2 linked regions of the Tribolium castaneum genome follow. Each later gene encodes a partner of the first gene's protein in a complex. Links are inferred from orthologs where the notes say so. Each region holds a gene or a part of one and is shown on either strand. Other genes may lie near its edges. The genes, in order: FBXO11 and Cul1.

What was found.
Region 2: FBXO11 (region 1) and Cul1 share a complex: the UniProt entries of both Homo sapiens proteins name them as parts of the SCF(FBXO11) complex. The link is inferred for Tribolium castaneum from reciprocal best matches to the Homo sapiens genes FBXO11 and CUL1.

The regions. Positions count from the first base shown.
Region 1 is NC_087396.1:9,595,796-9,600,178, reverse strand, and holds the start of FBXO11 (F-box only protein 11), read right to left. Parts: upstream 2,959-4,383; 5' UTR 2,914-2,958; coding exon 2,817-2,913; intron 2,365-2,816; exon of another isoform or gene 2,323-2,364; coding exon of another isoform or gene 2,253-2,322; intron 2,151-2,252; coding exon 1,836-2,150; intron 1,783-1,835; coding exon 1,632-1,782; intron 1,581-1,631; coding exon 1,198-1,580; intron 623-1,197; coding exon 398-622; intron 340-397; coding exon 95-339; intron 1-94. Other genes in the region: Sras (CAAX prenyl protease 2), read left to right, coding at 3,067-3,179. UniProt on the Homo sapiens protein: Substrate recognition component of a SCF (SKP1-CUL1-F-box protein) E3 ubiquitin-protein ligase complex which mediates the ubiquitination and subsequent proteasomal degradation of target proteins, such as DTL/CDT2, BCL6, SNAI1 and PRDM1/BLIMP1.
Region 2 is NC_087396.1:22,569,662-22,572,959, forward strand, and holds the end of Cul1 (cullin-1), read right to left. Parts: coding exon 3,056-3,298; intron 3,008-3,055; coding exon 2,744-3,007; intron 2,696-2,743; coding exon 2,516-2,695; intron 1,875-2,515; coding exon 1,725-1,874; intron 1,675-1,724; coding exon 1,334-1,674; intron 1,286-1,333; coding exon 1,066-1,285; intron 1,015-1,065; coding exon 934-1,014; 3' UTR 607-933; downstream 1-606. Other genes in the region: TBC1 domain family member 31, read right to left, coding at 1-147, 194-267. UniProt on the Homo sapiens protein: Core component of multiple cullin-RING-based SCF (SKP1-CUL1-F-box protein) E3 ubiquitin-protein ligase complexes, which mediate the ubiquitination of proteins involved in cell cycle progression, signal transduction and transcription.

The sequences.
Region 1 (4,383 bases):
TTGTTTGATAATTCCACCCTAATTACGGTTGTTTTTCGACAAGTCAACCAAGTTTAGGATTAGGTCCTTAAAGTATTCAATACTTTCTTCTTACCATTCCACTATCGAACGTAAATATTCCGACGTCCCTTCCATGGTGTATGTGATTACGACGCATGATCGGGTTCGCGTTATTTTTCACCCAAATACCAGCCAATGCATTCCGACTGATCTCGTTATCTTCATACGTTCCTTGGGCAAAATCGGTGACGTACAAGCCGACATTTTCACAATCACTTATATCACAATGACGTATGACGGGATTTGCGCCGGCACCACTCACACAAACGGCCGCACCAACTAATCAATACAAAAAAAATGTACAAAACTTTGACTTTAAATTGAACGCAAGACTTACCAACTGATGTGCTTCGTATAATGCAATGATCTATAGTCGGACTACAATTTTCTCCAACTTCGAGACAATAATGTTTATGGTGAGGTACTGTAGATGTGACATCAGGTGAAAATTTCAACGTAAGATGGCCACAGTAGGCGTTTTTTGCACCTTCGACGAACATCACCGTCGATTCGGATTCTCGTTCTAGTATCACGGATTCGGCCACGTTCCCAGGTGCCGCACCTTCAAAAAAATTCGATAAGTAACAAGTACGACAGTAATATTTTGTAGACCGAAGTAAGAAAACAGTACAAGTGTGAAGAAAAAAAAGTATACAAAATAAAAGAAATTAGGACAGAGTTGGAGGTGTGGAATCTTACAAATAAAGAAAGCAAAAGTAAAGACAAAATAAATGAAAATATAAGTATGGAAAAGTGGAACGATCACTTTATGGAAGTACTAAAGGGAAGTCAAAACAGTTGTAGTGAGATCAAAAGTGTCGAACCATTACAGGAAATAAACGAACTTACAAAAGAAGAACTGAAAATTAGAAAGTTAAAAAAATAGAGAAAATTTTGAAGAAACGATTAATCAAGAGACGAGCAAATGTTTTTGAACAATTAAAGACGTAAGTCAAGGTTGTGCGTTAAAGCTTGCATTATTCTTAGCATACCTGGGAGAGAAAGATAAGGTGCAAGAAGAAAATTGAAAAAAAATAAAGAAGTGTAAGTATACGTAAGGTAGAATATCAAATAATTTCAAGGATTGTAAAGTTAAATAGCCAATAAAGACATTTTAGTAAGTAATATTTTACAAACCTATAAGAGCAATGTCTGAGTCGTCGATTACGAGGAACTCTCCACGATAAGTACCGGCATGTAGAAATATGAGTGCGCCTTGAGTGGTACCCTCAGTGTGATTATTATTGACCAAGAGACAACCGCTCGTACTATTACTACCACTACGTTCATCGGCATAATCTAAAGCCGCTTGTATCGTATTAAAGTACACAAGATTGCGTCCTTTGAACGTCAAGTCTTGATAACCTGGTCGAACGTGTATCCCGCGATACAACTGACGGAAAGACTCCTTCCATGGATTAGCCAAATCAGACTCCTCCGGACTGATAAATTGGAAAACACAAGGTGCCGGATTAAACAAGGGCAAATCGTATTCATAGACACTCTGATATAGGCGTTTCCTAAAAAAAATCAATCAAGTTGCATTTCACAGCAAATGGTCAAATTATTACCAAATCTCGGTATCATTCGCAATGGCCTGAAACCGTTTACACACTTGACTCACACGACACAAATCTTGTTCGAGTAAATAATTGAATATCGTGAGCAAAACTTCGTCCGGCAGCTCGTATTGGAGATAATGAGCGGCTGTGTTTGTACAATCTGCAAAAGCTCGTTTTGAGAATGGTATTTTTTTCGGAAAATTGTGATCGTACTCTCGTACGAAGCGGAACAAGTCCGTCTTGGACGTTTCCTCGCCGGAAGCATGGCGGAAGTGTACCCTTGTGCTGGTGCCGTCGGAGTCGCCGGGGAAGTGGGCGATCCTGCCGTCGCGGCGCTGGTGCTGGGCCCCGGCCCGTCGTGATGGGACGGAGACTTACGTCGAAGGTCGTAAGGAGAGTGATGGGCTGGAATGGCGCCGCCGCTGGTCCCAGGGGCCATTGCTGAAGGCCCCCCAGAGCCCGGAGCGGCCGCCGTAGGTGCTGGAATGTTTTGGTTAGGTACAGGACAGGAAGGTTCGCATGGCTCTGCTGCGAAACAAATTTCAACAATTATTCATTGCTTGTTGGCGAAATGAAAAATTTTTCAGCTTTGGCTATGTTTAACTTGTTTTCGACCGTATGTTTGCTTACAAGTATTTTTAGTAGCAACCAAAACCACGCTTTCAGTGCTGTTATTCGGGCTAAAGATTATTAAACTCATCTGCCAAATGCCACAAAGAAAATTTCCAACAAAATGAAGGATACCGATTTACTGAAGCTGAAACGTGATGATCTAACCGGGTTTAGCAACAGTCGAAAAATAAAACCTTGCAACTGAATTAATTACGTTTTGTATTTACATTGAGGGGTCCTAGTGCAGTTAATTCGGTCGTTTTTATGTCAATTAAAAGGCAATTTAGCCACTTGATGGAAATCGATATTGAGGGATGTATGAAATATGGTGTGAGTGAGCGTAAGGTGGAGCCCCTGCGTGGGGCTGCCTGCCATGTTTACAAATATTTCGCGACGATAAAAATCGTTATCTGGACTTATTTGGGTTGTTGCGATGTGGGCAGCCCTGTTATTTTTACGCAGATGCGTCCGCCACAAGAGTCTTTGATGAACTAAAATCGATATTTGGGGCCCCAAATAACTGTTTTCGCATTCTCTCGAAGGTGACAATAGGGGGATTCGGGTCGCAGCAGCTACACTTACCAGACGTGGTCCTGGAAGGAGTCGGGATCCTGTTAGCGCCCTTCCTGCGGGACCTCCTTACGTACGACCTGGAGGCCGTGAAAGAGGCGCTCGGCATTTTTTCTAGCACTAGCACCAAAACCAATCTCTAAACAAAGGAGACACTGGAACTAGCACTGGCGGCCATATTCGCTACCGTTCCGACAACCACGGAACCGGACCAACCAATCACCGGGCTGGTTTGACGTCACGTGACCGTTAAAATGTCAGAATGGTGCAGGATTTCTATGGAATTTTTGATTGTTTTCGTTCCATCGGGCTATGCTTGCTGATGTCGGTGACTTATGTCGCCAGTTTACACGTCTGGAAGTCGCCGCACAACAGGTAATCCATTCACCTTTCAGGATAAGGACACGAAAAACACCTTTTCACACAACATGAACAAAATCAAGTAGGCTTGCGACGGATGCCCTCCGCACCGCGCACCTCCCGCCGCTCCCCGTTACGGTATAGTCTACGACAAATTCAATGTCGGATGGCGGAGGAAAAGAAAAGAACAAGACCAATAAACGTCACTACGTTACTCTTTTTATTACACAAAAAATACAAGAAATGATTAACTTGTTTATTCAATGTAATTAGTAATATATTAAAAATACGAATTTTTTTATCATGGGAAAATTTTTTTTTCATATTTTGAACCGTTTATACAGTTGAAATAATTTTCACATATTGCATAAAAGGATAAAGTCCAGGTGTGTTACCTGAGCCTTCAAATAACAAAAGACAAGCAAAATGTATTCCCAAGTAGGGGAGTGCGGGGTACGTTCGGACATGGGGCATGTTCGGTCAATGCAAATTTTGCAGCTTATAGTTGTTGTATGTTATAATCTACAGTCGACCCTAACGCGGCAGAATTGTTCAGTGGATCTGGATACATTCAAAGGATTTTATTTTATGCAAAAAAATGTGTACGGTTCATGTTAATATTATGTGATCATTTGAAGTTATAATTAGAGTAAACTTTAACATTTTTTTAACTTGTTTGAAAACGCTGATTAACTAAATCAAGCTGAAGAGATCAAATAATAAGCTTTCAAATAGTTTTAGTTGTTTACAAACTATGTAACTATGTAAACGTCAACGTCGCATTTCCCCAACTTATTTTTTTAAAATAAGGTTGATAAAAATGTAAAATAGTTATAGTGATTAGATCTCTCATTGAAAGTATAATTACATTAACTACTAATTTTGCATAAATACTTTATAACAACAAATTTAGATAGGAAATGCGACGTTGGCGTTTACATATTAGGTGTTTCAAAACTACGTAAATGCCAAAGTCGCATTTTACCAAATTATTTTTTAAGTAAGGTTGATAAAAATGCAAAATAGTTATTAATAATTAGATCTTTCATTGAAAGTATAAATTACATTATTGTTATTTTGAAGTGTATGAATAATTTATAGCTATTCGTCCGTACAATATGTCCGATTCAAGCGTAAGCTTGAGTGGAAATTGATAATGACATCACGTTTGAGAAAAGTTTGACGGATATGTCACTTTGACGACATTCACTATTTATAT
Region 2 (3,298 bases), about 13 Mb from region 1:
CAGAATTTGGTGCTCGTGAAGTCGATCACAAAGATGTTGCCCTCGTAGTCGGCCAAGGCCAGTGTTTGACCATTTTTGCTGAAACAGCAACTGAGAAAGCGGATCTTCTGCGCGTTTCTGTCGGTGTGGTGGATGTTTAGCACTAAGCTGAAAACAGGGCAATTAATTGGTCCAAGGGGCAAGGGCCCAATACCCGTCTCTTTGGGAGGGTTTCAAAGTGAAAAGTTTCTTGTAAATGCGGTTTTCCTTGGTTAGGTTTAGAGTCATGGTGGTTGTGGTTGTTTCAAGGGTTGGTTTGTCTTTATCGATGGTCACAGATTAAAGCAAGATAACCTCTAATCTGTGTCAATATTTTGTAAAATCGAGTTCAAGAAACCTTTGTGAACTTGTCATTGCATGTTGCACTAGCACACCGAAAGGTGGCGCGAAGTCAAATTATTCAGCCAACTGTGATATTTTTCTCATTTTTTCATTTTCCTATTAACAAAGGTGTATCATCAATTTAATATAGAATAAAATAATAAATAAATTATTCATAGTTTTATTTATGTTTTTTTGATAATCGTATTCCAATGTGTGTTAAAGTGGCGTTAACTCAAACAGCAATTTGTCAAAACAATTTATTTAAAATCGGTGAATTAAATTACATTCGTATTCTTTTCACATAGTAATACAAATAAACAGATTCTATACAATTAATAAAGTAAAAGCAGAATTAAAACAAAAATTCAAAGGAATATCAAGAGAGCGCCAGAACTCAGATTGACAGTTCTAGGACAATTCAATCAAAACATAAATACAGTTGTGTATTTTTTAGTATAGCATATCACTTAAAGTACAATTTATTTTTCGAATATTTACAATATACAAGCCACTCGTTGACTCCGCCGGTTGTTAATCAAAGACAGTTGGGTGACAGTTGCGTTTGCTGAATCATGCCAAGTAGCTGTAGGTGTCCTTCTGACCCTCAGTCCTCTCCAGATACTCCTTCTCGATCAGAATATCTATGCATTTCTGCAACAAAACACAAATCAAACACACAACTAATACGAGAAATATCATCACCTTGATGATGTGAACCCTCGGCTTGAACCTTGACGACAACTGGTTCAAAACTTCAGCCACCAACTGTTGATGTTTCAGTATTTTCCTCATTTTCATGATTCGTACAATCGCGGCTTGAATCAGCAACTTCCTGTCCTCTTCAATATGCTTGTGAGTTGTTTCTTGCTCCATCTTTAGCTCGGTCTTCATCGGAATATTGATATTGACCCGAAGTTTTTTACTGGAAGAAAAACTCAAATCGGGGGACACCCCTGGCGCGTAAACTCACTTTTTATATCCTAGGAAAAGGTTCACAACCGAGTGTGGCGCGAGCTCGTTCTCGTCATCATCGCAAGTGATCAGCTTCGCTTTAAGTAATATCTGTATGACCTGTATTAGGAAATCTGTTTTGATTTGTGTATTCTCCTCGAGTTGAGCTATTGTCCAACTTTCAGACACGTTGAACTGGAGCAGCACAGCCATTTGAAACGTACTAGCTTGGAGTGTGTATCTATTTTTAAAACAGTTCGTGTGTAACTCTCCTTTCGACATGTTATACAGCCAATTTAATTTCCGGCCCGAATGCTGACCGGAATAGAAATTTGTAAATCTATGAACACTTCTTTCAAGCTGCAAACGTACAATTTATCTCCCAACCCTACAACAAGCAAAAAACGCACCTCGGTCGGCAATCCGAAGGTGAAAGATTGCTGGAAAGGCCATGATCCGGAAGATAACACTTGAATACTAAAATCTATGTCTAGGGTTTCGTTTGATTTTAATAGATGACTTTTGAATTGCTCGTTCAGATCTTTAGACACGCCAATGTCCTAAAAAAATACAGATTACGCCAAAATCAACGCTTTCAAGGCTGTTTTTCGAAAGAATTAACGATAAAATGGCCCAAAAATGGCAACATAAACCGTCATTAAAGTAGTGACTTTTAATATTTTTTAGCATTTGAAATTTCAAAATTATTTCATAATAATCATTTGAGATCTCCCGACTTATTTTAATGAATTTTCGGCTTATTCCGGAGGACTTTCGCAAAAAGAAGCATTTCTGAGTGAAAAACGTACAAAAAACAAGAAAAAAATTTAAAGTTCAATTTGTATTTTTTGGAAATTGTCAAATAAAAAGTTGAAAAAATTAAATTTTTAGCCAAAAACTTGGAAATTTAGCAAGACAAAAAGAAAGTCGCCTTCAGTTCAAAGTTACCACTGAAATCTCCAAAAGGAGAGCAGGCCTTGAAGTCAGTCATGAAAAACGGAAGAAATGCGTATAACCAAAGTCACTTTGCAAAAAATTATGTTTAAATTCGCATTTCCGTTGATTGTTTGTTTATCGATATGATAAATGTGCAGAAAATCGTTTATAAATGTCTCGTATTAACGCAAATTGTTTATTAATAGAAAATCATTCATTCTCGGGGTCATCAATGACCAATTAAAAACCAATTGTACCAACTTGCCTGGAACATCCTTTGCAACTTGGAGGTGTACTCAAACCCGCATGCCTGTTTCAGTTTTGAGATCATTGAAGCTTCAGCATCGTCACTCGCCGACATGTGCTGGACCAATCGCTTGGCCAGCATTTTACTGTAGAACTTTTGAAAAACGTCCTTATCTTCGATATATTTGAACACAACCATCTGAAAACACAATCAAAACCCCACCCAAAACAAAACCTCGTTACATACGACTTGGTTTAACGTATCTTCGAGCTCCGCCTCCTCCGGATTCTTGCTCGACTTCTTCAGCAGCAAATCACAGTATTTCGCGAGCAATTCCGGCGATTTGCTGCTCGAATTGGCTTTTTTGGTAACGGCATTGGCGTTGATGAAACGACCACATGCCTTGTCCAAAGCCGCCACAAAACCGCTATCGTTGTTGAACGCCACCAAAACAAGAGCGTTGTACTTCTTGTGCACCTCCAGAATCGTGTTGACGTAAATTTTCGGGTCCTAAATACAGGTTATTAAAAACTGGGAGTTGTAGTAACAGTTAGTTACATTATGGGCGCTTTCTCCGCATTTTTCAATCGCTGAGAGCCCCTGAGCTGCGATATGTTGCTCGAGAAGCGTCCGTAATTCCCCTAAACCGTCCGGAATCCGCGCTACCAACGAGTACATCCGACCCAAATCCTCGTCTTTGTCGGCGTCCAACAACTGCTGGAACTCCGAATGGAACATGTCGAGGTGCTTTTTAATGAGGACTCTTTCGCAGGTTTTGGCTAAACGGCCGCTTGTTGTTTC